7 linked regions of the Neurospora crassa OR74A genome follow. The protein of the gene in region 7 interacts with the protein of the main gene of each other region in a pairwise test. Links are inferred from orthologs where the notes say so. Each region holds a gene or a part of one and is shown on either strand. Other genes may lie near its edges. The genes, in order: NCU00301, NCU08323, NCU03702, NCU09437, NCU06409, NCU03824 and NCU07041.

Region 1 (4,245 bases), on a different chromosome or scaffold from region 7:
TGGTGGACTGGAAAAAAATAATGTGGCATGTCCTAATCATTGCTCTAACATTCCAGTGTTTCATCCCAAAAATTACCTCTACTTCTTGAACGATCCGTGTTGAAGATACCTGTACTGAAGATAACGAAATTGAAGTGTTCGGTTTAGGATGTTGTGTTTGTTCAGAAACTGCCCAATCTAATAATTTATCATGTGGTGGTGTTACATTTATCCAAAGTTGAGATTTGGGCATTTGCATTGATTCGTCTCAGAGCTCCTATTGGCTCCCTCGCAGGCCTTGTATCCTTTCCAAGTCAACATCGCCTTCGCTCTTTCGGAATCTGGCACACAAGAAATGCCAGGGAAGGGCACAGAAACGAAGAGGAACTAAAAATTGGGATGGAAAAGAAAAAGAAAAAAAATGAGAGGGATTCTTATATAGCCCTATTCTCAGACCCGGGGTTTACCATGAACCTGTACTAACACGATTGAACAGGGTGCGAGTACCGGCGACCTCCGGTGTTGAGAATACTGGACATTGTAGATATTGTAGATCTTGAAGAGGTATCAAGTGTGTTCAAGAAATACAATGCCATTGTGTGTGCAAGCCTGCTTTTTTCCATTTCCGTTGAGGCCATGATTATCAACAACCCAAAAATCTATACATGCATGATATACCCAGAGTACTACAAACCAGTCCAACAACCACGACAACCAGAGCCCTATCAAGAAAGCTTGATACTCTTGACCAAGCCGGTCTTGATACCCGACAGTTCTCCCTGGTACCCGCCCTTGCCCTCGCCGCCCTTGTACACGGCCTTGACGCTCTTGAGCTTCTTCTGCTTCTCCGCGTACTTCATCCTCTTCTTGACACGCGGGTTGCGGTTCTCCTTCTTGCGATGCGGCGTGAGGCCCTTGTTCTTCTGGATCTGGTAGTTGATTTGGCGCTTGCCGTCGGGGCCGATCGTCGTCTCCTCCACGACCCGGGCGCCCTTGGCAGCCGCCAAAGCCTCGTACTTGGCCGCCTTGTCCTCCTTCTTCTTGGCCGCGTTGTGCGCCACCATGTCGTAGTACTCGTCCTCCTCTCCGCGCACCTGCTTGGCAACGGCCTTGTCCTCGTCGTCGCTGTCGCCCTCGCCCAGCACGGCGCCGTGCTTGCTGTCTTTCTTGCCGCGCTTCTCGGCCTCGGCGTTGAGCCGTGCTTGCCTGTCTCTCTGCGCAAAAGTCAGTATATGACAACACGGCATGTTTTTTAGGCAATGGCCGACTTACAAATCTCTCACGGTAGGGAAGATCGTCATCACCACCGGCGTTGCGACCCGCATCCGCACGCTTGGCGGACTTGGACACAATCTGGGAGGTGTAGAATTTGAGACTCTTCTTGCGAGCAGCCTTCTCCTTGGCCACGTGAGCTTCAAGGATCTCCTCGTCACCAAAGTCGGAGCGCTCATCGTCATCGCGCTTGTCGACCTTGACAGACTTCTTGCTGGCCTTGGTTGCCGTCTTGGTGGTTTCAAGCAAACTGGAGAGATCGGCAAGAGACTGCTCGACAGCCCTGGCCTTCTTGGCCTTCTCGGCCTCCTTCTTCGCCTTGGCCTTGAGCTCAGCCTTGGATTCGCGCTTGCTCTTCTTGAGCATCTTCTTGAAGTCCTCCATATCGTCGTCAGACAGGTCATCATACTCGCCCTCATCTTCGGGTGGCGAAAGCATGCCGCTGGTCGAGGAGACGCTCTTGAGCGGCTTGAGTTCCTTGACCTTAAGCCAGGCCTCGCGACAGCTCATTAACGTGCCCATAACCTCGTGGTCCCTGAGTTCCGTAGGGCTGATCGTCTTGGACACACCTTGGCTGTCTCTTGCTGGCGAAGTCAGGATAGCGAAATAACTGGCGAGTGAAGCGATGTAACACCCAAGAGTCCAGAACTTGACCATCTCCAGAGACTTGGCAGGCTTGCCCTCGGCCTCTTTTTGAAGAGTTGTGAGAATCGGCTGCAGCTCCCTAAACTCCTGCGCCAGGTAGTCAAACTCGGGATATCGGCTCTGTAGAAGCTTGTATCTTTCTTCCGGCCCCATGTCCTCTGTGACTTCGATCTCGTTGAGTTTCTCGGTAATGACATCCTCCTCTCCCTCGGCCTCCTCCTTGGTTCCTAGCCATTCGCTCTCGTCAAACGCGAAATCGGCCTCGGACATTTTGGCCAACTTCTTGGCCTGGAGCCTCTTTGCCTCAGCCTCTTCCTCCAAGGCATCGGCCTCGGTCTCGATCTGGTCGGCATTGTAGTAGTCCTTTCTGGAGGAACCCCACCATCCTTCGTCACCTTCTTCCTCCTCTTCACCACCCATCTCTTCGTCGGAAAGTACTGTTGTCTTGACCTTCTTGCCCTTCGCGGGCGCGGCGTCTTCGTGTTCGCTCTCCTCATCGGATTCGTCCTCCTCGAAAACCTCCTCGTCAGAAGCCTCTAGGAACTCCTCCTCCTTGTCTTGGCGCCTGCGCTTGGATTGTCTGCCATCATCGCTGTCGTCAAAGTCGATGCGATCCTGGTTCTCCCAGTATTCGTCTTCGGAGTTGGCGACATCTTTGTAAGTCTTAACGGTAAGGCGGGCGTCCTTGGCATCGACCTCGCGAGGCTCGGCGGGACCGGTCGGTCTCGGGGCTTTTCTCTTCTTCGCCATTTTTGCGTTTGTGTCGCGGTTATCTATTCAGGCGTGTTGGATGGAGTTTGGCGCGACTGAGAAACGTTGACGTGAAGACGCTGCCAAAAGGCACTTGGAGATGCTCGTTGAATGGGCTGGTGGGTTCGTTCGCTAGGCGGGCAACAAATGTTGAAGCGGCAGAATTTTTTTGCTCTTGTCAATTTGCGATCCATTCTCAGCGGAACCTCGACCGCCCAGCTCCACTCTCATGCAGGCTGCCTAACCCCACAATTGAAGATGCTCCACAGTTACATCTGAAATGGTCAAAGCTTCCATCCCGTCCTCAGGGTCGACGGGAAGCTCCAAGATGCCCCCCAGGCCTGCCAGATTTACGTTGACATGACCTCAATGGGTTCAGTTATGACAGTAGAGAAAACCGCTTCTGAAGACTCGAAAACGCAAACTCCAGCAAATGGTTCCAGAAACCTCATTTTCCTACGGAGTGCGAAGAAATCGGTCGAATCATCACCCATCAACAAGTCACTTACAGACAGGGGTGTAAGCTCCAGTACGACGGGAACTGCTGACAGCATCCACTAAATTTACGCCGTAGAGGTACTCGTTCGTACTCTAGACGTATACAGAATAGCTTAGGCGCCGCCGCGTCAACAATTCCACTTTCCTCGAGCCCGATCTTCTTTCACGATCCAAGGAAGGATGAACCATTATCTCTTCTCAGAGTCGCTGATGGAACAATTGAAAACCCTCAGCACCTCCTGGTCTCTCCCAGTTGCAGCCGTCGTCGCGGCCATTGGCATATTTGCTACAATGGGTCTCTTCAGCTCCAAAAACCACATGCCAGTCGAGGGCCGGGTATGCGCCCCGAAGCCTCACCCGACCTGACCCGACCTCCAAACAACACTAACTCAACCCCTGTTACCAGACCGTCCTCCTAACCGGCGCCTCCGAAGGCATGGGCCGCTCAGCGGCCATCCAACTTTCGCAAAAGGGCGCCAATGTCATCCTCGTCTCGCGCAACGTCGGGCGCCTTGAAGAAGCCCTCGTCGACGTCCGCGCCGCCGCCAAGAACCCGTCCACACAACGCTTCACTTACATCTCAGCCGACGTTTCCGAGCACGACTACGCCGCCGCGGTCCTCGCCGAAGCTATCGCCTGGAATGGCGGGCGCTCCCCGGACATCGTCTGGTGCGTGGCCGGCATGTCGACGCCTCTGCTGTGGACCGACGATGGCAGCATGGCGGCCGCACGCCGCAACATGGACGTCAACTACTTTGGGTCGGCGGAGATGTCGCGGGCGATTTTGAGGGAGTGGCTGGCACCCGAAAACAGCACGGGACCCAACGGAGAGCCGAAGCACTTGGTATTTACCGCGTCAATGTTGGCGCTTTTTGCGATTTTGGGCTATGGCCCGTACACCCCAACCAAATGGGCGCTGAGAGGACTGGCGGATACCCTGGCGATGGAGGTCAATTACTACCCAGATAACCCGGTCAAGGTGCACATTGTGTATCCCGGCACGATTGTATCACCGGGCTACGAGAGGGAAAATCAGACGAAGCCGGACATCACGGTGGAGCTGGAAAAGGACGAGCCAGCGGAAAGCCCGGATACGGTAGC
Region 2 (4,081 bases), about 2.6 Mb from region 7:
AAGATCGGTAAGCATTTCCAATGCCTCATCCTCGGGATAAACTTCGCCGCCCATGATAGGAAGTAAAATGTAGGGTAAGATATTGACGTCATCCTCATCCAAAAACGCCGGGTGCGAAGGAATGTCAAAAGCAGCGTTCTTGATAATGCTCGCCACTCCCTTTCGCCTGATATCGGACTTGTGTTCGGTAAAGACCTTGATCTTGTTGATTGGAATAACATCGTCGTAGTCCTGTCTGTTGACAAAGTAGTGCCGGATCTCTTCATGTTTCGAAAGGTCGGCAAAGACGTAGGAGAGGTAGTCGTAATCGGCGTGCTTGTTGTAAGTCCCGTCGGCGCCCTTGACGAAGAGGTCCATTAGTTGGTTAATGACCCTATCGTCGGACTTGAGCTTCTCTGGAGCGGGCTGTTTCCGGTCTAGAAGACTTTTGAGTCCATCCCACTTGGTCAAGTTTGCCAGCAACATAGCCATAAGATTGGCGTTAACCTCCTCGGGCTCCTATAGGAACGGGATCGAAGCGGTTAGTCCTTGCTGCGCACGCACCGTAGGAGCTCAGAATGGATACACATACGACAAGAAGCCCGAGGAGGATTCCAAGGAAGCGATCATCGGTCGCGACGTATTCCAGCACATCCTTCTCGGCAGTCAAGTTGATCAAGCATGTTAGGGCGTGCTCGGCGATTTTCTGCACATGGTACCGACGTCTTAGCTGAAGCTGCTTGGGCGCAAACAAGACAAGTCTGTTGGGCCTACCGGGTGGTCGCGGATCAAGAACTTGAGATGCTTGATGGGGGTGAGCTCGTCGGTCTTGAAGAGGGCGGGCTGAGACGCTGAGAAGGGCACCAGGTTCTCTGTCGCGAGAAGGCGGATGTTGGCGTTCGGCGAGGCAATGAAGCCCACGAGCTTCAGGCGATTATAGCGATTAGTTGTCTGTCCACTGACATTGACACTGCACTGGTTCTGGCAGAATTACCTCTTCAAGTTCGGTCGGCATGTTATCAATGGTAGCTGGATGTATGGTTGTATTGGACTTGCTATAAGCTCGTAACCGTGGCGAGCGAGGCTATGATGTCGCGACTTCCCTTGCTCTTATTCATGCAGTGGGCCAAGCTGCAAAAACTGTAAACACAGGGAACAAAATTCCAGGAATTTGCAACCGAAGAGGGGCACAGTGACGAAAATGCGGGGCAATAAAATGTTTATCGCTGCTCCGCCGGGCGCGTCCAAGCTAGACGATAAGCGATAAGAGGTATTGTACCGCTTATCATTTTCACCGCCCTGGCATCAGAAAATAAAGTGTGCCCACACAGCAAAGAAGTGACCAACCACAAGCGTAGCGCAAGCCTTTCAAGTGCCCAGACTTCTCCACGGCGGGAACAAATTGTCCAAGGGTCGCCGAAAAAAATATCCCCAATTGCCGTGTGCAGCCAAGTCGACATCGCAAAGAGAGGGGACAACCAGGAGAGCTCCGTATCATCAACTCTTCCCCCGATTGCACAACCCTACCGCCATTCAAGATGCCCAAGACAACAGCGGCGACGTCGAAGAGGCGCCACAACCCCCTCGAGGCCGACCTCGTTTCTACCGGCGTCCTTAAGAACAACTCCGGCAAAAAGAGCAAGAACACTCGCGCCGCCAACGACGAAGATGAGCAAAAGTATGTCGACGCCAAGGCTTCGCGCAACATTTTGGCTATGAGCCGTAGCCTCATCGAGGAGGAGGAGAACCTCCGGACAACACAAAACGCAGCCTCCGGATCTGCTCCTTCGGCGTTCGAGTTCGATCCATCGAGATTCGACCGCAACGATGACGAAGACGACAAGTTTGAGAACGACGAGGCCTGGGGCGAGGAAGAGGAGGAGGAGGTAGAGGAAATCGAAGTCGACGCCACCGATCTCGAGACATTCAACCAGTTTATCACACCCACAATGAACGAGGACCCGCTCCTAACACACGGATGGGATGGAAAGCCAGAAGGGGCAGAAGAGCAGGGTCAGAGCGTGAACCTGGCGGACCTTATTCTTGCCAAGATCGCAGAGAAGGAAGCCGGCGGCCCCCAAGGCGGGTACCGCGACGAGCCTGGCCCAATTGATGAGGATTACGAGATCCCCCCAAAGGTGATGGAAGTGTTTGAGAAGTAGGCTGGCCGTTATTTCTGTTACCCTCTTGGCAGACTACTGACAGACTCCTTCTCGCAGAATTGGCATGATTCTTTCTCGCTACAAATCTGGGCCGCTTCCCAAGCCTTTCAAGGTCCTTCCTCAGATCCCCCACTGGGAGGACATCTTGCCCATTACACAACCCGAGTCCTGGACTCCCAATGCCTGGTATGGTTGCTTCTTCCTGTTTTCGGGAGCCAGAGAAACGCTGCTGACATTTGCGATTGTTAGCTACGCGGCCACCAGGATATTTGCGTCCGCCAAGGAGGCTGTTCTTCAACGGTTTATGGAGATGGTGATCTTAGAACGCGTCCGCGAGGACATTCACGAGACCAAGAAGCTCAATGTCCATCTTTTCAACTCCCTAAAAAAGGCCCTCTACAAGCCTGGTGGTTTCTTCAAAGGTGTGTTATTTACTGCCTACGCTTAGTCAGGTTTGCTCAAAAGGGACAACCCAGCTAACCGTTGGCAGGCTTCTTGTTTCCTTTGGCGGCTTCCGGAACGTGCTCGCTGCGTGAGGCGCAGATCGTAGCCGGTGTTTTGACCCGGGTCACCATTCCGGCTGTTCATTCCGGTATGGCCATTAAGGGCTTGTGCGAAATTTCTTCTGCGCAGGCTTCTCAGCGCCTCGACTGCGTTAGCGCTACGAATTTCCTCCTCAAGACTCTGATTGAGAAACGTCACGCCTTGCGTAAGTCCAATTCCTAGCGTGCCAATGATTGTATTCTCTGACTTTGTAATACAGCCTTCCAAGCGCTCGATGCCCTCGTCTTCCACTTTCTTCGGTATCCCGCTTTCGCCACCGGCGGGCATATGGCACCCAACGCTTTACCAGTCATCTTCCATCAGTGCATGCTCTCATTTGCACAGAGATACAAGACGAACAGTGAGTTTGCTTCTTCCGTCGCTGTTTCACTATGCGTCCCTATTATTTTTGAGTACTAACCGCGGTCTTTGTGTAGTTACTGAGGACCAGCGAGAGGCTCTCCTGGATCTTCTCCTAACTCACGGCCATGACAAGATTTCGCCCGAGATCAGGCGAGAACTTCTCGCAGGTCGCGGAGGTGGTGTCCCTGTCGCGCAACCCGGATTTGATGGCGATGACACGATGCTGGACGCTTGAAGAAACATCGGTGATCCGGTAATGACTTATAGACGATGAACCCTTGGTATGCAACGAGGACATGTGGCTCATTTTTACCTGGTACGCGCATAGAGATGGGAGTCGTGTTGTTTAGTGACCTTGGTGGCTTGGGGCAGTCCTTAGACATTGACCCCTTTGATAATACTATGTCACGCCTCGACAGTGGCTACTACTCATCACGCCGCTTGAAGAGGAAGTGGTCATGCCAAGTCAGTCACCATGTACTACCCTTTGTATCTTAGTGGTGCTGACCAACCAGCAACATAATTGTTGACGACCTGTAATGCTTTAGTGCACGAAATTATAAATTCAAGATACCCGGTACAGCAACAGGAATTGTCGAGGAGCCTTGGAATAATCATTTTCAGTTATGTGAAGGAAGCTGCCTTTTGACTTCTTTGTTGCGTCAATCTGGCTTGGAATGCCCTTCTCCCATTTTTCCAAGTCCAAGGCAACCGCGATCCTCTGCCACGTTGTCGGAATCCTGAGAGAACAGTGTAAAGGGAAAGAAGGCAATGTAGCTCTCGCCTACTTCGATATCTCGTGTATCTGATGGCATCATCCCGTATTAGGTGCTTTTACCATACGAGTTTCTAGTGTTCTCTTCCTAACACCCGGTCAACCCGAACATTCTAAGCACTCCGCCCCTCTCGTTTCCCTATTTATTCTTGAGATTGCTTTCTTACCCCGAGACACCAAGTTCTACTCAGTATTTCCGCAAGATCAGGATTTTCGGCGCTGCTTTCTGGCGTTTCGCCTAAGAATCCCGACACCACCT
Region 3 (4,047 bases), on a different chromosome or scaffold from region 7:
GAAAGGTGAGCCTCCTCGCGGACAACGGCCTCGGACTTCTGGACGACCTCATCGGCCTCAGTGAGGATGAGCTCGATGTGGCAGGGGTTGGACATGTAGGGGTTGATCTAAAACATAACTGTTAGCCAATGACCGGCTTGATCGTCTATCTGCCGGCGCAGAAGCAGAAATCAGGGGGGTATCTCCGGGTTTGACGTACGCGACCGTGAGCGCGGTAAGTGCGGCGGCGCTGCTTGGGGGCCTGGTTGACCTGGATGTGCTTGACAACGAGGTTGCCAGTGTCAAGACCCTTGGCATCGGCGTTGGCCTCAGCGTTCTTGAGGAGACCGAGAAGGAACTCGGCGGACTTGGCGGGCCAGCGGGCGCGGGAAACACCGAACTGCTTGCCTATATGACGAAGAAACGGTCAGCACCGTGTCTTCTATGTCCTCCATTCGATTGCGGTTTCGTGTCGGTCGGTCGCGGTTCCATCATGCTGACAATGCCCCCCTATTCCCCCGCCACTTTGTCCTCCCCACTGTCGTCGTCGTCGTCGCATGATGTACCGGTTCGGGTGTGTTTGTGCATGTAAATATCGAGTAAGTCGTACCTTGGGCGGCGCGGCCGGTGCCACCAGCGTAGCGTCTCATGGGGACAGCCTCCTTCTTCTCAAGAACGTTCTCGAGGAACTTCTGAGCACGCTGGAGCTTCCAGCCATTGATGGCCTGGGCGGTCTCACGGGTGTTCTTGAAGGAGACACGGAGGTAAGAGCCGCGCGAGCGGGCGGACTTAGCCGGGGCAATCTCAGTCGCAGCGTACCGAACCTGCGATTTTGAACAAGACTCGGTCAGCGATTCCCTCTCCTCCAAGTGCTCGCAATGCTCGCAAAGCCGTCATTGTCGTCCGTTGAGACTTTCGTCGTCATTTCGGCTGCAGAAGCCCGAAAACTGTCCTGAAGCAAAATAACGGCGGCGATTCTCTCGTTCGGCGGATTTCGCAGGGATTTACTCACCATCTTGCCTGCTTGTCGATGAGAGGACGGGGAATCGACCAAGTGTGATGTTCAGAGGTGGTGATGGGTTCCAATTTTGGCGTACAAAAACCGATTTTCGCGATTAGGGCTCTGTGGGCACTGCGCAGGTGGCTCGTGCGGACCGTCACTTTGCCTGAGGCACGTGCACGCGGGGACAGTAAGTGCTAGCGCCGATAACAGCCTGCCTCCTGGACTGCCGGCCGTGCACGATAGCATCCGCAACAAACTGGAGAGCCTCGACCGCCACGCCAGGACGACAGCCAATTGCAAAGGCAGAAGGCCTCGACCGGAAAAAAAAGTGCTCCAGCGATGAGACTTCGTGCCCCGCTTTTTTTTCTTTCAATCCATGTCCAGGAAATTTTGCACCCAGCTCCAGCAAAAGCTCTTTTCCGAGTCCTCGACAGCGCCGCGCGACAACTCTAAACCCATTGTGCCTCGCACGACTGATCTTACAACGCGTTTCGGCCCAGAATCGCAACTCATACCGACTCCGACTTATCAATACCGACACATTCTATAAAAATGGGCTTCGAGCGTGGTGGCAGAGGCGGCGCCCGTGGCGGTGGTCGTGGTGGATTCGGTGGTGATCGTGGTGGCAGAGGCGGCGCCCGTGGCGGTAGCCGTGGTGGCTTCGGTGGTGAGTTTGGCCTCAATGCCATCGCCTGAATGGTCTTTGCGGTTATGTCGTTGCTTCTGTTCGTCATCTTGAGAGATGTCTCTGCGTCTGCTGCGGCCCGTGGTCGCCATGCATGCCTCTTGACTTCTCGTAGTAGGATGGCGATTTCAGTCGAACTTCATATCGCAACTCGACTCAACATGCGATGGCAACAGCAACCACATTAACGCAACACTTTACTGACAATGACTTAACAGGCGGCCGTGGTGGTGGTGCTCCCCGTGGTCGTGGCGGTCCTCGCGGTGGTGGCCGTGGCGGGTACGTCTTGTGTTCAAAACCCTTGATTACTCCAAAGACATTGACTGACATTATGAGTATAGTGCTACCCGTGGTCGCGGTGGTGCCCGCGGTGGCGCCAAGGGTGGTGCTGCTGGCAAGAAGGTCATCGTCGAGCCTCACCGTCACAAGGGCGTCTTCGTCGCTCGTGGTGGTAAGGAGGATCTCCTCGCTACCGTCAACCTTGTCCCTGGCGAGTCCGTCTATGGCGAGAAGAGAATCTCTGTCGAGAACGCCTCTAAGGAGGAAGGTGGTGCTTCCACCAAGACTGAGTACCGCGTACGTTTTCCAGGCTTTCCAGCTTGTGGCCTCAGACAAAGACTAACATTGGACTTTGCAGATTTGGAACCCTTTCCGTTCGAAGCTTGCTGCCGGTATCCTCGGTGGTCTTGAAACCATCTATATGAAGCCTGGTTCCAAGGTCCTCTACCTCGGTGCTGCCTCCGGTACCTCGGTCTCTCACGTTGCCGATATCGTCGGTCCTACTGGTTCCGTTTACGCCGTCGAGTTCTCTCACCGTTCCGGCCGTGACCTCATCAACATGGCTACTCGCCGCACCAACGTCATCCCCATCGTTGAGGATGCCCGTAAGCCCATGGCTTACCGCATGCTGCTCCCCATGGTCGATGTCATCTTCGCCGATGTTGCCCAGCCCGATCAGGCCAGGTAAGCCGACTTATACAGATCCTTGACACTGTATGTGCCTGACACTAACACATTTCAGAATTGTCGGCATCAACGCCAAGCTCTTCTTGAAGCAGGGTGGTGGTCTTCTCATCTCTATCAAGGCTTCTTGCATTGACTCCACTGCTCCTCCCGAGCAGGTCTTCGCCTCTGAGGTCCAGAAGCTCCGTGAGGACAAGTTTTTCCCCAAGGAGCAGTTGACTCTTGGTACGTCCATCCGCTTCCCTTTTGGTTGATAGAGCCAACAATAACTAACAATCACCCACAGAGCCTTACGAGCGTGACCACGCCATGGTTTCTTGCGTCTACCAGCAGAAGGAGTTCGTCGATAACTGAGTTTCGAATTAGTACTGTTCTATCTTCGTTGCTCTGTTCTGGAACCTTCACATAATTCGGTGTTCTACTGGCAGGATGGTTTTGTAAATCTGGAACGGCGAATGGCGTTTGGGTATCTGCCTTGTTTTAGCATTGTGGGAATAAAGCACCAGGGTTCTTAGACTGATATCCGGAGTGACCCCGGTTGCTTCCATCTTACGCCGCCTTTCACGATCTCGTCACGACTCCTAAGTCACCGCGCAACGAACCTCCTGTTCACCAGCGAAATTGGCCAGCCTACAACACATCAAGAACGATCACCAGTCAATCACCCTAAGAACGAGAAGGGCGCTGGATAGTCAAGCAGAGGTTGCTTTTATCGGCGCTTAAAATGCTCGACAGCTTGGTTCGTCTTTATGGCGTTTGAAATCTGCGAACTGAGAGTCCCTCCCCTTTCATCAGGGTATCACGTCGAAAACTGAGACTATTCTGGCCATTCGAGTTTCAAAGGAGATTGTTTGGGCCTGGGGACGCAAGGGTACTGCAAGCCAGTCATTACATGGCTTTGAGGATTATTTAAACATGCCTAGAGTCTATCCAGGATCAAGAGGATGCTGGGCCGTTGGTTTCGCTTGTTGATGAGCAAATTTGAGCTTGCTTAGTCCTATAGATTTACATATCAGAGTTTTGGGTCATCTTTGCTCCTTATCATCGGCCTTGTCGGCGGTCTTGTTACTTCTTGAGCTTATTGTTTGTTGCTTTATTCGATGCTGGATATGCTCTGATCTATGATTTGCATGCTATCTAGCTCTTCGATATCTCACCCCATTGCCTCTACACCTTCCCCGTACTAAGCGCTCTTGCACCGCTGAAAATCTTATCTTCTTGGCTCGTTTGCTTGCGGCGTTGATCAGAGCTGACAAAGTAACTCAGGCGACAACATATCCCGGGACGAGACGCGCAGCGTTAATGGAGAGTACGGACAGTGTAAGTGTGATCCGTTACCGGGTACTAAGCCAAAGTACCTCTACAACTTGTGGCCCAAGCCAGGCTAAAGGATATATAATTACTATGGTCCCGGGGA
Region 4 (4,130 bases), on a different chromosome or scaffold from region 7:
TTAAATTTCGTACTTATCGTAAGTTCCGGGCTCAATAGAATATAAGTATAATCGCCGCATTAAATTTAGTCCCAAATATCCCAGTTCTATATATAAATTAATAAAGGTACTTAAGATTCGTAAAAAAGGGCAGAATACTTACTTTTAAAGTCACATCTTTATTTACCTATACTAGCTTTAAATCTAGCACTTTAGTAATAATATTATTATATTAACTTTCTCCAAACTTAATTAACAGTATAATCTATATTGTAATTTTATTATATAAAGCTAAAAATATATATAGGACAATACTTTTTCCGTAGCCCATTACTGCGACTAATATTATATCCTTCTATTCGTACGCCAACCGTACTACCGCCTTAACCTAGCCTTTTCGAGGGTCTTTACTATTACTAATAATATCTTTTATTACCCGCAATATACGCTAGGGGTCAACGGAGGGATCGAAATTAGGATCTATAGTATTAATACCTATAGAGGATAGAAAAAATTAAGGAAAAAAAATAACGTACTATAGAGTAAAGAAAACTATACTACTATATTAATAGTCGTATAATATCTATACCTACAAAGTTTTATAGTATTGGGATAAAAAGCCGTACTGTAATATATAGCTAACTAGGCATTGAATATACGGACTTACGTAAAGTTTTTACATTTTCTATAATAATTAATACTTTCAATAGTCGTAGAAAAAAATTAATAATACCATTAAATCCGTCTCAACGAACTCTTTCTCCTCATATCTTTTGTATAACCTAAATCTATTGTTTTATTTTAACGCTATATTATCTTTCTTAGAAGTTTATCAATATAAATTCCCCTATCCGCTTCTAGTCTAATTGGGAATTCAAACCTCTTTTTTAGGCGTTCTTATTCAATACCGGAAAGTATACTAAAAGAATGGGTACACGGATCACAATTTAGAAACTTTAGTAACTTTCAATTTATTATTTTTTTTGAGAACCCCGGGCGCGCAGCGCACGGGCCAGATGTGCGCGCAGCGCACTTTCCCAGCGGCCGCAGGCCGCCCATGCCTAAAAAAGAGGGTCTGATTCTGAGATAAGGGCCGGGCGCTCACTGTCTGTCAGTTGAACCCCACAGGGGCAACCAACCAACATTGCCCCACCCGACTGCCCCTGTCGGGTCTTCCACTGCCCCTGTTTGTGGATTGACCTCTTATCTCTTATCGGAGCTCCAGAGTCTCAAAAAATTTGGGAATTCCCGTCGCAAACTTGAACGAGACTCGAATTTGCAGAACTTCAATTGGAGGGACGACGCTCGGTCCACTGTTGTTTGGCTTTCAGTGCTCTCTCTCTCAGTGTCTTGTCACTATCAATTTCCTGTCTCCATTCCCAGGACATCCTCCTCCACCATCACCATCATATACCTATACCACCGCCACACATACAATGGAACCCGGATCAGCAAAACGACGCAAGATTGGCCATTCACGCGGCGGTGAAAGCGCAGTTGGCAACATCGACGCCGCTGCCTCCTCGGGTCTCTCGCGTGGCCGCGCATTCATCCTCGAAGCCGAAGAACTCGTCGACGAAGTGAAGCTCGACTATGCCACGGCCCTCGAAGGCGTCGACTCCCTCCTCCACAAGATCAAGGGCTCCATCGAAGCCATCGAAGCCCACGATGCCCTCCAGATCGCCGAGGCTGCCACCAAACTCGAAAAGAAACACAAGATCCCGATCCCGTTCCCCGAGCCGCGCCCGTCCGACAAGTCCAACTACAAGGTCGCCTTCGCAAAGCCTTCCCAGTTCAACGTTGTCGGCAGCTATGTGTCCAAGACCATGATCAAGGCCCAAAAGAGCCATGCTGTGGATATGGTGGTTGTGATCCCCGGCGAGACTCTGCAAGAGAAGGACTACCTCGACCTGCGATACTTTTACAAGAGAGCCTACTTCCTCGGTGTTGTGGCTGCTGCCCTACAAAAGGACCTGGCTGATGATGGAGAGCTTTCATACGAATACCTGAATGGGAACACCCTGTCCCCCATTTTGTCGTTGAAACCAAAGGTGGAAGGAGAAAAAAAGGAGGGCCAGCTGGACTACAGAGTGCGCATCATCCCTTGCGCCCCAGACAACTTCTTCCCCAAATCAAAGCTTCACTTGGGCGCTACCCTCGTGCGCAAAGCTGGCGGTGACGAGTCCAAGGCCGCGACCAAGCCTACGCCCTTCTACAACTCGACGATTGTTTCCGAGTCCTGCTTCTTTCCCTACTTGAAGCTCTTGCGACAAACCGAAAAGAAATGCGCCGCGTTCAAGAAGGCTTGCATCCTGGGTCGGGTGTGGTTGCAACAACGAGGACTGGGAAGCGATATGGCGGACGGTGGTTTTGGTCACTTTGAATGGGCGGTACTTTTGGCCCTTCTGCTCCAAAGCGGCGACAGCACCAAGGGACATGCGCCCTTGTCTACATCCCTGAGCGCCACCCAGTTGTTCAAGGCCATGGTCCAGTTCTTGTCTGTTACTAACCTGTCCGAGAAGCCGTGTGTTTTGGGAACTGCCACCGTCGAGTCCGAAACCACTGGTCCGGTTCTCTTCGACGCTGTTCGTGGTTTGAACGTTGCCTTCAAGATGAGCAACTGGTCTGCGGCCAAGCTACACCAACACGCCAAGTGGACAAGGAGCCTTCTCAACGACAGCACTGCCGACCAGTTTACCCCTACCTTCATCCTCAAGGCCGACCTCCCCTGGCAAAACTACGACCTCATTGCCCACCTCAACTACGATGGAAAGCAGGACAAGACAGAACCGATTGACTGCCGGGGACGGCTATGGGAATACAGCGACAAGGTGCACAGGGTTCTCAAGCGGGCTCTTCAGGACGAAGAACTAGGTGAAAGGGCTCGGTCGATTCACATTCAACTACCCAAGAGCTCATCCTGGGATCTCACCAAGAAACCCTCCACCAAGCAGAACCACACAATCGAGATTGGTGTCCTCTTCAATGCCGCCAACATGACCCGCTCTGTCGACCGCGGTCCGGCCGCTGGACCTAGCAACGAGGAGAAGGAGGAATGCGCCAAGTTCCAGCGGTTCTGGGGTGAGAAATCGGAACTTCGTCGGTTCGAGGGTGATTCTATCAGGGAGACCTTGATCTGGTCGTCCACCTCCCCCTTTGACCTCTGCGAGGAAATTATGCGCTACATCCTCAAGCTCCATCTTCGCGTTGGCTACCTCGAGGACGAGCTCACCTTCCACGGCGATGGCTTCACCGAGTTGATTCCTATCAAGCCGACCGACACCTCCGTCTTCAACGCCGCTCGCAAGGCCTTTTCCTCCTTCGAGAAGGATATCCGCGACTTGGACGACATGCCGCTGCACGTCAGGCAAATAGCCCCCATCTGCCCCGAACTGCGACACGCCTCCGTCAAGGTGCCCTTCTCGACCGTCAACAAATCCGGCCCACGCCCCCTGGAATGCGTCATCTCCTTTGAAGCCTCCGGCAAGTGGCCCGAATCCATCGTGGCCATCCAACGCACCAAGATCGCCTTCCTGCGCATGATCGGCGACCTCCTGGAGCGTTCCAAGCCCGGCGAGGTCCGCTCTTACGTCGGTCTCGAGTCCTCTACCACCACCAACACGGAACTCGAGAACCTCGCCTACCTCGACATCGTCTACGAGTCCGGTCCTGCCTTCCGCCTGCGCATCCACTCTGACCTCGAAGAGGCCCTCCTCACGCGCCAATCGCACGACAAGACCATCGACCAACACCACCGCCACCAAGCCTCCGTGCTCCTCTCCAACTTCCGCAGACTCTACTACCACCTCCCTCTGCACACTCAATCCATCAACACCTTCGCCACCCGCTTCCCCGCCTTCTCGCCCACCGTCCGCCTGCTCAAACACTGGTTCTCCTCACACAAACTCGCCTCCCACTTCACCCCCGACTTCATTGAACTCGTCGCCCTCCAGACTTTCTTGAGCCCCTACCCCTGGGACGCACCCTCCTCCCCTTCCGTCGGCCTTCTCCGCGCCCTCCTCTTCGTCAGCAGATGGGACTGGCGCTCCGAGCCGCTCATCGTCGACACCAACAGCGACATGCCATCGTCCGAACGCTCCGCCATCGCCACCCGTCTCGAAGCCTGGCGCAAGATCGATCCGCTCATGAAC
Region 5 (4,170 bases), on a different chromosome or scaffold from region 7:
CCTGATTATTCTGCCAAAGTGGCCAACAATATGAGAAGAGGCTGGAGTTGGTTGTAGTGGCCAACAGAGTAACAACTGGAAGACAGGGCCAGATGTTAGGAAGGTCGAAAGTGCACAAGAAAGAGAAAAAAAAAAAAAAAAAGAGGATAGAAGAGAGGAAAGGGTGGCGATGACGGATTTTAGTAACAGGACGGGCGCTCCGCCTCCGGGGGGAAGGGGAGAGGGGGGAGAAGGGGAGTGTCTCTTCTCTTCAGGAAAGCATGAAGACAACTTGAACACCATCTGAGTGTCATGCAGAGTAACTGAGTAGGTAGCGAAGACGACGATGAACTCCGAGATGAGAGGAAGCATCGAGGATTGGTATAGCTAATTCTAACTTTGTATGATTTCTCCGTAACACCGCGATGCAATACGCCTTCTAAAATAGACTAAACGATACAAAACCCTAAACAGAACAAACAAACGTGACCGCCACTGCTTGTCCAACTATACTGACAACCGAAGTGGCAACGAAGCACTCTAGGCCTCAGCCTTCTCACTGTCCTTCTTGTTCTTGCTTCTCTTCCTCTTCTTTTTCCTCTCTCCCTCGATGATATTATCCGCTCCCCGTTCACCAGCAGCAATCTCCTTCTTCTCCTCCTTCTTCTCTTCCTTCTTCTCCTCTTTCTTCTTCTCGCCACTCTTCTTGTCCTTGTTCTCACCCCTCTTCTTATGCTTAATCGCACCCTCATCCTTCTTGCCAAGGGGCGTACCATCCTCGTCCAGCGCCTCGAACCCAAAGGTAGGACCAGTCGCTTCGAACTCCTTGCCAAACGTCTCGCGACGCCACTGCCTGAGACGGGCCTTCTTGCCAAGCTTCTTGCGTTCCTTGCGCTTCTTCTCGGCGTCGCGGAAAGTAGCCAGCTTCTTGAGGCCGGCGAACTCGTTGAGCGCGGCGTCCGAGGGCGCCAACAAGATATCGCGCGCCGTCATGCCGAACGAGACGGGCGAAGTCTCGCGGTAGCGGAACGGGAACAGGTTCTCCTTGTACTTCTTGTCCTTGGGGGCGGAAAGCGCGCGAGGAGTGTCGAGTTCCATCTTGGTGTCGACCAAAGCTTCAAGCTTGGCTAGTTCCGCCTTGGCTGCCCGCTTGGCGGCTTGCTTCTCCTTCTTGATGTCGGCGGTGGTCTTGCGCTTCTTGGAGGGACGGCCTTCATCTTCATCGGCGGAGAGGTCGGAGCCGAGGTCGGCGTCCTCGTCTTCGGCTTTTTGGTCGTCGCCGTTGGGCTTGGGGAGGTCTAGATCGGAAAGGACAACATCGGGAGCGTCGTCGAAGTCGGGGATGATGTCCTTGATGTCGATATCGTCGTCCCACTCGGGCTTCTTGGGCAGCTTCTTCTTCTTCTTCTTGGATTTGCCGTCCTCGTTGTCCTCGTCGTCCTCCTCGTCGCTGCCGGACACGTCGCCTTCTCCCTCGGCGTAGTACTCCTCGCCAAACTGCTTGCGCATCTCCTCTTCCCACCGGTCGTTGTCCCAGGCGTCCTCGAGGAACTTCATCCACTCCTCGTCGGACAGCTCCTTGCCGGTGAGACCGGCAGCCTTCTTGATCTTGGATAGCTTCTCGGCCGCCTCGTCAATCTTGAGACGGCGCAGACGAGCACGCTCCTCCTCGCGCTGCTTCTTCTCGGCCTCCTTGCGCTCCTTCTCGAGCTGTCTCTGCTTCTTTCTGCCCGTGAGCTCCTCCTTTCTGACGGACTTGGCGTTGGCCAGGTTACGCGAGTACGTCTTGAGCAACTCGTTGCTCTTGTTGGGGTCCTCGAACCGCATGTTGTAGGCGTGCTCGAACTCCTCGGCCATCTCGGGGAAGTTGTCCTCACCCTCGTCCGACTCGAAAGCCTCCCAGCGCGAGCCGTCGGCGGGCGCCCAGGCCTTGGACTGCATGAATTTGGAAAGGAACTCCTCGGGGTTCTTGTCAGCGTTCTTGACGTCGAGCTCGTTAAGATCGATCGCCTTGGCGCGCGACGGGTGAACGCCGTTCTCGGTAGGCGCCTCCTCCTTCTTGACGGGCTTGATGAAGGCGTCGTCGTCGCTCCACTCCTCGTCTTCGCCGACAGCGGCATTGATCTCAGACAGAATGTTCTGCTTCAGGTTGGCTTGTTCCTCGGCATAGGTCTTGGGCTTGGGCGCGTCATCTTCGTCGGCACCGATGTCACCGGCCATGTACCTCTCGCGGTGGTAGTCGCGCAGGGTCATGGGCTTCTCCTTCTTCTCCTTGACGGGCTGGCCGTCGGCGTCAATTGGCGTGTAGAAAACGGCCTCCTTGTCGTAGATGCGGGGGTCCCTCTTCTTGATAGCTTCTAGAGTGGCGTTGATTTCGGCGTCGAGGTCCTCGGTGACAAGGAAGCCCTCATCGTCTTCGGTCTCGTCTTCGGAAGAGTCCTCTTCGTCCTCGTCTTCGCCTAGCCCACCTTCCTTCTTGGACTTGAACTTTTCCTCGAGACGGTGGAGTTCCTCGCGCTTCTTGTTGTGTTCAAAACGGCGGGCGTACTCCTCATTGATCTTCAAGTCGGCAGCGGTACCGAGGGTGGCACCGCCGTCCTGCTCGTCTTCGCTGGAGGCATCATCGTCGAACAGACCCTTTCTAGGCACAATGGGATCGGTATTGGCGCCTGTGACTCTGGCTTTCGCCGCTTTTGACTTTGGGCGAGGCATCTTGAGGTGGGCTAGATTTGAAGATGCTAGGGCGAAGGGGTGGAAAGTCAATCCTGGCGCATAAAGGATGGAAGACTTTCGTTGCGACTTTGACGCCCCCAAATTTTCGAAGTGAACTTTTTAGTGGGGACCTTTTCGAAGTCCAGTCCCCGGGCTACAGCTGGCGGTACGTACTTGTAGTCCAATTTGCCTGCCACGAGATTGCGCACGGTTCACAAAGGCATACATATGTGGCTATGAGTCTTGGCATGGAGGGGAAGTTGGAGTCCACTCACAGCGCAAGCGAGGGGGGACATCGAGGACATGCGACGCCTGCCCGTGGCCCGACCGAATGCCTGCTGGATCCCGGCGAGCCTGGCTTTCCGACTGGAAGGGAACTAACTGAATGAACAAGCTCCATCCATCCATTTACTCTCATTGCTGCCGTCTACCTATCACGTCACACCTCACTCCGATTCCCAACCCATCAACGATCCATCTTCAGACATCTTTTGTCTTCCAACAGGCAGCCACCCAACGTCCTCCCTTCCACAACTGCACTGCTCTGTCGCTGTCGCATTATCAAAGATAGCCGTTCTTGCTATTGTCCCTTGCTGTAGTTGCTCGCTGCCGCAAGCCCCGCCGTTTCCACAACCCATCCACCCAGATTTGTAGCAACAATACACTTCAACGACAATGGCCGATACGAACGCGCCCAAGCCGAGCAGCAGCGTCAAGCTGGTGCTTCTAGGTGAAGCTGCTGTCGGAAAGGTGCGCAGTCTTCTGCTCCAAAACCACCATGCTCGAGAAACACATGCCTAACACAAATCGTTCCACAGTCGTCGCTCGTCCTCCGATTCGTCAACAATGACTTTCAAGAGAACAAGGAGCCCACGATAGGAGGTTAGTTCCTGAAGTCATGACGACTTTCTTTGCACCAGTTTAGCTGACACTTTTTTGCAGCCGCCTTCCTAACCCAGAAGTGCAACCTGCCCACGAGGACGATCAAGTTCGAGATTTGGGATACAGCAGGCCAGGAGCGCTTCGCCTCTCTAGCGCCCATGTACTACCGCAACGCCCAAGCCGCCCTTGTCGTTTACGACCTGACGAAACCTACTTCACTCATCAAGGCCAAGCACTGGGTCGCCGAGCTCCAGCGACAAGCGTCTCCCGGCATCGTTATCGCGCTCGTGGGCAACAAGTTGGATCTGACCAGCGACTCGGCCGGCTCTGCCGAGGCTTCCGGAGGTGGCGACGACAATGCGGAGGATTCGGGCGACGCACGCAAGATCTCGACGGACGAGGCCAAGGCATACGCCGAGGAGGAGGGTCTCTTGTTCTTTGAGACTTCGGCCAAGACCGGACATAACGTTACTGAGGTTTTCACAGCCATTGCAAACGCCATCCCCGAGACGTCGTTGAAGAGCGCGCGTGGGCCTGGTGCCTCGCATGCCGGTGTCAGCCGCACAGAAGAGCAGAGGGTCAACCTTAACGGGCCGC
Region 6 (3,510 bases), on a different chromosome or scaffold from region 7:
GGAGCTGCTCGACTTTGGCGCTAGCCGAGAATACCCGGAGGAGTTCATCTCGCTGTATATCCGCCTGCTCGAAGCCGCGTCGCGGGGTGATCGCCCCGCGGTCAAGTCCCTCTCTGAAGAGCTGGGGTATCTGACGGGTCATGAGAGTAGAGCGATGCTGGAGGCGCATATCACTAGTGTCGTTACACTGGCTGAGCCGTTCCTGCAGAGTGCGCCGGAAGTGTATGATTTCAGAGATCAGACGATTACGGAGAGGGTCAAAGCGCAGATCCCCGTCATGATCCATGAGAGGCTGGCACCGCCGCCGGAAGAGACGTATAGCTTGCACAGGAAGCTCAGTGGGGCGTTTTTGTTGTGCGCGAGGCTGGGGAGTAGGGTCAGGTGTAGGGAGATGTTTGAGAAGGCTTTGGAGAAGACGGAGTATTTCGGGAAGAAGTGAGTGAGGTGTATGTATGATACTACTGTGGCTGGAAGTCGGGCTGGTAGGGATAGATTTGGAGGGTTAGACCAGAGTTTCTGCAAGTGATTCTTTCTTCTTTCCTGTACATCTCGGCCGAATGTTCTCTGTTATAGGGAATCTACCGAGTAAGATCACCTCAAAAAGCATAGCCAGCACTTGTGGGGTGATTTGTAACAATATTTGTGAATATTACCATTCCAACCTTTTGCGCGCCTGCTTCATCTATCAGTCCTTGATACCTAGGTATGTCTCCCATGCAGCCATTTATAGTATACCCCCAGTGTTTCAAGCAAGCAATAATCCACTCTTCCCCTTCGTTTACCTATCCTCAGCCGTCCGTCTCGCCAACGGCAACGCCTTCTTCTCCTTGCCTGCAATCTTCTTCCTCTTGCGCTCAATCGCCTTATCGACCTGGCTCTTCTTCATGCTCGCGAACTGCTCCACAAGCAACTGCTTCTTCTGCTCTGACTTCTTCAAGTAGAAGGGCGTCTTGCCCTGCTTGATGAGCTCCTTCTCCTTCTTCTTGTGCTCCGACAACAGCTCGCGCTCCTTATCCTTGCGGGCGCGCGCCTTCTTCTTGCTCTCCATCGACAGGAGCGCCCGCTGCAGCTCCTCCTTTTCGTTGGCATCTTTCGTCTTCTTGATGGCCATCCGCAGCTGCTTCATCTCGTCCTCCTGGTAGTCGTCCAGGAACGAGTAGGCTTTGCGCGCCTTGATCTCATCTACTACGCTTTTACCGGAGCTGCCGCCGATGCCGGGGGGCGCGAACCGTGGGTCCCGGGATTTGGGCTTGGCGGGCTCGTTGGCGAGAAAGTCGCGACGCCGAGAAACGGGTTTTTTGGAGGTCGTCTCGACGGGCGCGTGCTTGTTGGTGCGGTGGTGCTTCTCGACCTTGGCCTTCATGCCCTTTTCGATCTCGGTCTTCCAGTTGGGCTCTTCTTTCTCTTCATCGTCATCGGAGCCGTCCTCATCGCCGCCCTTCTTCTTCTTCTTTTTCTTCAGTGCGCCGAGAGAGGCTTGGGCTCGGGCGAGAGCACCGAATGAGAGCTGCGAGGCGTCGATGCCGGCGCCGCCGTGCTCTGAGGGTGCGTCGGAGTCCTGTTATTGAGCATTAGTCGTAGTTTTTTTTTTTTTTTTTTTTTTTTTTTTTTTTTTTTTTTTTTTTTTTTTTTAAAAAAAAAAATGATAGTATTGTTTTTTTGTGCCCATTTGAAGAAAACAGAAAAAAAACAAAAACCCTTACATCGTCACTGCCTGGTTCACTGCCCTCCTCAATCTCTTCATCCTCCTCCTCCTCCTCGGTGTCGCTGCCTGTGTGAAAGCCGCCGCCTTCTTCCTCACTAGGGGCCTCATCTGAGCTCCCCTCCACATCCGAGTCGGGCTCGGCTTCAAATCTCGGACGAACACGTCTCTGGAGCTTAGCACCCAGCGTAGGGGCAGCTTTTCGCTTGACCGCAGGCATTTCTTACTCTTTTCGGGTCCACAATTTCGTCCTTTATAAGTTCTATCCTGTCTCTGGTGGCAGTGACAACTTTGTTGTGCGTTTGATTTGAGATGGTTACCCTTTTACGAGGGAACAAACAGCAGCGGGTGAAGAAAAGGTATGAGTGAAGTCACATGGATATGTGTATGTAGTTGGTTGTCGAATTGGCGTTGAAAGTTCTGCCGCCTGCGAGTGAAGCAACATTGCCCCGCTTTGACGGGTTTTCTCAATGTATGATTGGCTAGATTCCTAACCGATATTTTGCCCGTCCCCTGAAAAGCACAGAGGCCGCAAACAGGCGTACAACATCACTTCTTGATAAAAGTGTGACATCTCATTCACTGAGTTGTTTGGAGGTCCAGGAACACGGCTTATTGGATATTTATTACCGCACATCTTCCTCAACAGCTGTGGCCTACAGCTGAATGCGAGCCGGGCCGACTTCAAGCACCTTGGAGCCAAGTGGTCCGTAGCGGCACCTTTTTGCACCGGCCTCGTCTTTTTATCTCAAGGATGATGATGAACAGATTACGAATATTCAACACACCAGGTCGCTTTCGTCTCACAAAGGACTGGCAACTATTGCCAACTACACCATTATTGCCTTACTTGCCTCGCAATAAATATTTCAACACATACAAACCGTTCTTGGCCAACCAACCTTCGACGAGGTGCATTCATACGGCTGAAGACAGTTTTGAGGCGGATAAACTGTGCTCTGTGTTTGGCGTACAACACCTGGCTAAGAAGGGAACCGCACAATCAAACGAGACATTACCAGGCCCCTCAGAACCGTCTCACCAGGCGGCTGGAGAACAGGGCAGAGTGGCTTCCGCTGGAAAGGGTCAAAGGGGCAGCAAAAACGGAAACGAAACGCAGGAGCAAAGAAGGTGTCAAAGGCTGGGTCAGCAGCAGGACAAACTACAACGACAACAACAACAGCCTCAAGACGGTCTTAAGGCACAAATACAGCAAACAGTGGACCAAATGGATCACAATCACTTCGGCTACCAGCCGGGTTACCCGCCAATATGGCAGGGGGAGTTTGTTCAGCAGCAGCAACAACAACAACAATACCAATACCAAAACCAACAGCACTATCCTCGGCAAGAGCAATATGGCATGGGATATGCGCCGCCCCCAAATATGGGCTATGGCTTCATCCCTCCTACTCATCTCAACACCTTCGCCCCAGGAACGACCATACCGCATTGGCAACAACCTCTGCCGCCGTTCTACTCGGGAGCAGGAACACGAAGTTACCATACCAACACCAACAACAACAACAACAACAACAACAACAGGCCTCAGGTCCCTCAGCCCGCTGGTTGCTATCGCTCCAGGAGTCCCGGACCCTACTCACGAGTAAGACAATACAGCAATAGCAACAACAACAACACCTACACCAACAACACACACCCAGACTTTTATCGCCCCAGGAGTCCTGGACCTTACTCACGAGGAGGAAGACGAGGACAGTACAACAATAACAACAACAATAACATCAACAACCACCATAGCCAGCAACAGCAAATACCGCCCACCTCCAGGCCCTCTCATCCGCCCA
Region 7 (3,582 bases):
GACGACGCCGTAGCCGTCAGCGAGAAAAGGTTGCTCGAAGGAGATGCCGGGGTAGAGGTGTTGGCGGATGAAGAGGTCGCGGTGGTTGAGGGCGCAGGACCGGAGGCGGATGAGAAGCTCGCCGGGGCCGGGGGTTGGTTTGGGGATGGTGTTTAGTTGGAGGCTAGATGGGGAGGCCGAGGGTTAGTCATGCGGGGAGGATGGTGGGAGTGAGTTGGTTGGTGGTGGTGATGGGGATATGTATGGGGGAGAAGAAAGGTGAGGTTATGTGAAGAGGAAGAACAAAACACTTACGGGTAGTAAACCTGGCCGGGTTTACCGTCAATTTTCTTGACAGTGAGTTGGAGAGGCATCTTGGCGTTGTGTTTATGTGTGGGTTGTGTTTTACCGAGGCCAATCCACTGGATGAGTGTTGAAGTATGTTCAAGAAGTGAAAGAAGGAAAGGGTCATCAAGTTTAAATCAGTTGCGACATCGGCCAGATTTGTTATCAATTGGACCCGGGGAAAGGGGTGTTGTCACTCTGTCATTGAGCCTCTCCCACCAACCCTGCCACCGACCAATGGCCGCCCCCACTCTCCCCCGCATTCGTTGCCGGATCCCGCTCCAATGATGCAACTGCCTCGGCCCGCCTTGTGATGCCCCTGGTTTGCGATCCGCCGGGGTGGAGCAGCCCGGTTGTGGTGCGGGTCTGCCACATCGGGCTTTATTCGCGATCGTCATCGGGTTTTGTTTCGGCCTTGGGTTTCGAAATGTCGACAGATTCAAGAACCGACATCTTTTCTGGACAAGTCATTGTTTTTGATAACACATTTGACAAAGGCTTTTGGTGAAATTTAGCAACCAGATCACCCTTGGATCCCGAAGCAGGAGAAATCTCAATCGTCTGCTGAAGTATGGGTATCATGGGATTCCAGGATCCTTTCTCTTTCTCTTCATCATCGTCTTCCTCAACTCCATTTCCACCTCCACCGCCCCCATATTTTGGATTGCACCACTTGTACCAGCTTAGTCGCTCGTCTTCCTCTTCTTGGCCTTCTTGTCCGTCAACTCCTCGGGCGGCACATACTCCTTCTCGCGCTCGCGCTTCTTCTCCTCCTTCTTCTGCTTGGCCTTCTCTGCGCGCTCCTGCTCCGCCACCCGCTGCTTGGCCTCCTTGCCGAGAAAGTATTCGCCGGACTCGATCTGGAGATCCACCTTGCTCTTCTCGGGCGCAGGGGGGAAGGGTGTATAGTTCTTCTTGGTCTTGTCGTTGACGACGTGGGGGACGCGGCGCTTGGAAAGCGTGCGCTTCTTGAAGTTGGGGAGGTAACGAGACCAGTCTTCGTGGGCAAGAGCGGGGTCCTTTGCGAGTTCGCGTTTGATCCTGTTTTCTCATGTCAGTTATTGTTGTTGTGGGGCGTCGCAAGTGGGCGTGCAGGCGCAAAACTTACATCAACTCCTTAATCATGTAAATTGGGTGAACGTTGTTCATGGTGTCCTCAACAACCCTCCTCACCTCCTTCAGACCCTTGAAAGGACCCATTACCGACACTGTGTTTCCGTGCACGAGGATATATGTTTGTGTGAGAAGCTCGAGAGCCTTGAGCGTTGTGCCGTTCTGTCCGAGAATTCTTTGGCGCCTCTTAACAAAACGCTCCTTGTTCCGTACCATGCTGCGGATCTTGATGATGTCGCAGGCCATGCCATCTTCGAGAATTTTGATCGCTTGTGGGGCTGGTACTGAACGGGCGAGCAACTTGATGAGATCGCGGGCGTTAAGAATAGCTGCGGGGTCATATGTCTGGACGTGAGTTAGCAAAGAGTGGTGACTATAAAGACAACAAACGCATCCGCCGTACCTTTCTTGTCGTCTTCACTGTCATGGAACCCTCCACCAAATCGAGAACTGCGGTGATGCCGTGCTTGTCGAGGGCCTTGGTGATGAGTGGCCACGAGTCTCGTAGATAACGCTCGCGGTACTTGGGGAATAGGGTCATAAACGAAGACTCCTCGAGGAAGGGGCCGGAGGATTCGTCCTTGGTGAAAGGGTCGACCTTCCACTTGTCGATGTCGTCTGTATCCCACGGCTTCTCCTTCTTGTGTGTGGACGGCATTTTGGCTGTAAATGTGTTTCTCGGGGCTCTTGTGGGCTGTTGATGTTTATGAATAATCAGAGGTCTCGATTGAGGTTGTGCGACAGGTCACGATATCAGGGCGAGCGACTTGGGTCTGGTGGTTGGATTTGATAAATGGCTTGTTGAAGGGATTGTATGGCAAGATGGCCAGCCGAATCGCGCTGCACGGATGGAAATTTTTGGAACACAAGCCTGCCGCAGCTGGTAAGAGTGGGGGCGCGGCGCTTCTTGCAGGTTGAGTTCCGGCTGCAGAAGCGCGACAGGATCAGCGGCCAGCTGGCAGATGCAGGGGCAGCTCCTTATCTGATAACTGGAACTTCCACTTGCATGGAAGTTGTAACTTTTGGAACCTGGTATTTTCATTGAGGACGACAACAGCATAAAAAAGGAGCAAATATAAGAAAACGACCGGATTCAGTTATTTCAAATCTCAGCGAGGTGGAAGTTTGGTTCTGTCATTACTGTCCTGCTGTACTTCGCAACGAGTCTATCCAAGTACTCTTGGCCATCTGCTCCTTTCAGCTGTTTTTTCCCCCCAGGTTGTAGATGTTATCTTATCTACATACTAGCTTATCATGACAGGGGCTTGCACGGCACGGCACGGAACATCAACAAGAAATCACACGTGCTGGCGACATCAAAAGGTCTTGATATGCCATGGTGGGATTGGCGACAAGAGCGTTTTGACTTGCTGGGGTCTCAACGTGATTTGTATACTCCCAGCAGGGCCATTGTTGACACCTGTACCGTCGGTAAAATCTCACCAAGGTGTTCAAGATACGCTGAAGTAATTGATGGTGAAGCATCGAATCCCGCCCGAGTCAAAGTTGACGAACTTAACAGCAGCAATTTTCAGGTTCGCCGTGATAAAGTCGCGGTAAGGCTGGATAACGTTCGTCGTTGGTTTTCCAGCTGAAGAACCAAGAAATCATCCCAGGTTCGCCCAATGAGAACCTGCAAAGATCTGACGACCCTGGCGCGCTGTGGTCATCATGATCGGGCAAGCACAATCTGCACTGTGGTACGCCACGGATTACAGCATTCCGTGCACGAGGTTTCGAAATCCATCAACGTTTTCCGTCAGAAAGGGGTAGGTTCGGTTTTGTGTCGCCAAGAATCAGAACTCCTTCCGTCCCTGCAACATCTTCCCCTTCTTTTTCTTCTTCGGCCCCGCGACATTCTACACTACTCCCTTCGATTTCCCCTTCGTATCCCTGGCGTCGGTCTTTATCCCGAACCCCAAGACCTTCAGGTATCGCTGCTTCTTGTGACCTTTGCCAAGATCGACGGCAATTGTCGTTGTCTATCCTTGAGAAGAAGAGAAAAGGAAAAGAAACAAATCGAATTCATCATAAGCACAGACGTCATTTCTGGGACGTTGACCTCGACCACCACACACCCGCACCTCCCTCCGCCTGCGCAGTCTCGATCCCGAAGTTGGCAATCCCGGTCACGGGCCCACGGTC

What was found.
Region 1: the proteins of NCU07041 (region 7) and NCU00301 interact in binary tests that used the Saccharomyces cerevisiae proteins (3 or more experiments, as listed by UniProt). The link is inferred for Neurospora crassa OR74A from reciprocal best matches to the Saccharomyces cerevisiae genes KRR1 and SAS10.
Region 2: the proteins of NCU07041 (region 7) and NCU08323 interact in binary tests that used the Saccharomyces cerevisiae proteins (3 or more experiments, as listed by UniProt). The link is inferred for Neurospora crassa OR74A from reciprocal best matches to the Saccharomyces cerevisiae genes KRR1 and ENP1.
Region 3: the proteins of NCU07041 (region 7) and NCU03702 interact in binary tests that used the Saccharomyces cerevisiae proteins (3 or more experiments, as listed by UniProt). The link is inferred for Neurospora crassa OR74A from reciprocal best matches to the Saccharomyces cerevisiae genes KRR1 and NOP1.
Region 4: the proteins of NCU07041 (region 7) and NCU09437 interact in binary tests that used the Saccharomyces cerevisiae proteins (3 or more experiments, as listed by UniProt). The link is inferred for Neurospora crassa OR74A from reciprocal best matches to the Saccharomyces cerevisiae genes KRR1 and UTP22.
Region 5: the proteins of NCU07041 (region 7) and NCU06409 interact in binary tests that used the Saccharomyces cerevisiae proteins (3 or more experiments, as listed by UniProt). The link is inferred for Neurospora crassa OR74A from reciprocal best matches to the Saccharomyces cerevisiae genes KRR1 and KRI1.
Region 6: the proteins of NCU07041 (region 7) and NCU03824 interact in binary tests that used the Saccharomyces cerevisiae proteins (3 or more experiments, as listed by UniProt). The link is inferred for Neurospora crassa OR74A from reciprocal best matches to the Saccharomyces cerevisiae genes KRR1 and RRP36.

What each region holds. Positions count from the first base shown.
Region 1 is NC_026503.1:3,362,661-3,366,905, forward strand, and holds NCU00301 (Sas10/Utp3 family protein), read right to left. Parts: upstream 2,796-4,245; 5' UTR 2,647-2,795; coding exon 1,252-2,646; intron 1,194-1,251; coding exon 705-1,193; 3' UTR 501-704; downstream 1-500. Other genes in the region: NCU00302 (3-ketodihydrosphingosine reductase tsc-10), read left to right, coding at 3,325-3,480, 3,551-4,245. UniProt on the Saccharomyces cerevisiae protein: Primarily required at the G2/M phase. Essential for viability: involved in nucleolar processing of pre-18S ribosomal RNA as part of the ribosomal small subunit (SSU) processome.
Region 2 is NC_026504.1:2,401,819-2,405,899, forward strand, and holds NCU08323 (bystin), read left to right. Parts: upstream 1-1,353; 5' UTR 1,354-1,517; coding exon 1,518-2,137; intron 2,138-2,198; coding exon 2,199-2,327; intron 2,328-2,390; coding exon 2,391-2,563; intron 2,564-2,631; coding exon 2,632-2,850; intron 2,851-2,904; coding exon 2,905-3,045; intron 3,046-3,121; coding exon 3,122-3,282; 3' UTR 3,283-3,581; downstream 3,582-4,081. Other genes in the region: NCU08324 (DNA-binding protein HGH1), read right to left, coding at 1-498, 572-685, 754-903, 974-994; NCU16789 (hypothetical protein), read left to right, coding at 3,725-3,800. UniProt on the Saccharomyces cerevisiae protein: Required for normal export of the pre-40S particles from the nucleus to the cytoplasm.
Region 3 is NC_026505.1:2,139,447-2,143,493, reverse strand, and holds NCU03702 (rRNA methyltransferase NOP1), read left to right. Parts: upstream 1-1,247; 5' UTR 1,248-1,534; coding exon 1,535-1,649; intron 1,650-1,885; coding exon 1,886-1,946; intron 1,947-2,008; coding exon 2,009-2,243; intron 2,244-2,304; coding exon 2,305-2,630; intron 2,631-2,688; coding exon 2,689-2,855; intron 2,856-2,916; coding exon 2,917-2,984; 3' UTR 2,985-3,800; downstream 3,801-4,047. Other genes in the region: NCU03703 (60S ribosomal protein L17), read right to left, coding at 1-107, 200-387, 590-803, 992-994.
Region 4 is NC_026507.1:182,558-186,687, reverse strand, and holds the start of NCU09437 (hypothetical protein), read left to right. Parts: upstream 1-1,330; 5' UTR 1,331-1,415; coding exon 1,416-4,130. UniProt on the Saccharomyces cerevisiae protein: Involved in nucleolar processing of pre-18S ribosomal RNA and ribosome assembly.
Region 5 is NC_026503.1:1,301,258-1,305,427, forward strand, and holds NCU06409 (ribosome biogenesis protein Kri1), read right to left. Parts: upstream 2,801-4,170; 5' UTR 2,692-2,800; coding exon 520-2,691; 3' UTR 324-519; downstream 1-323. Other genes in the region: NCU06410 (GTP-binding protein YPT52), read left to right, coding at 3,367-3,441, 3,510-3,573, 3,634-4,170. UniProt on the Saccharomyces cerevisiae protein: Required for 40S ribosome biogenesis. Involved in nucleolar processing of pre-18S ribosomal RNA.
Region 6 is NC_026505.1:2,530,918-2,534,427, forward strand, and holds NCU03824 (hypothetical protein), read right to left. Parts: upstream 2,098-3,510; 5' UTR 1,923-2,097; coding exon 1,704-1,922; intron 1,559-1,703; coding exon 779-1,558; 3' UTR 501-778; downstream 1-500. Other genes in the region: stk-25 (ABC1 protein), read left to right, coding at 1-439; NCU03825 (hypothetical protein), read left to right, coding at 2,457-3,510.
Region 7 is NC_026504.1:4,998,612-5,002,193, reverse strand, and holds NCU07041 (90S preribosome/SSU processome component KRR1), read right to left. Parts: upstream 2,275-3,582; 5' UTR 2,096-2,274; coding exon 1,841-2,095; intron 1,783-1,840; coding exon 1,433-1,782; intron 1,366-1,432; coding exon 1,008-1,365; 3' UTR 501-1,007; downstream 1-500. Other genes in the region: NCU07042 (alcohol dehydrogenase), read right to left, coding at 1-163, 295-353. UniProt on the Saccharomyces cerevisiae protein: Required for 40S ribosome biogenesis. Involved in nucleolar processing of pre-18S ribosomal RNA and ribosome assembly. Essential for vegetative growth.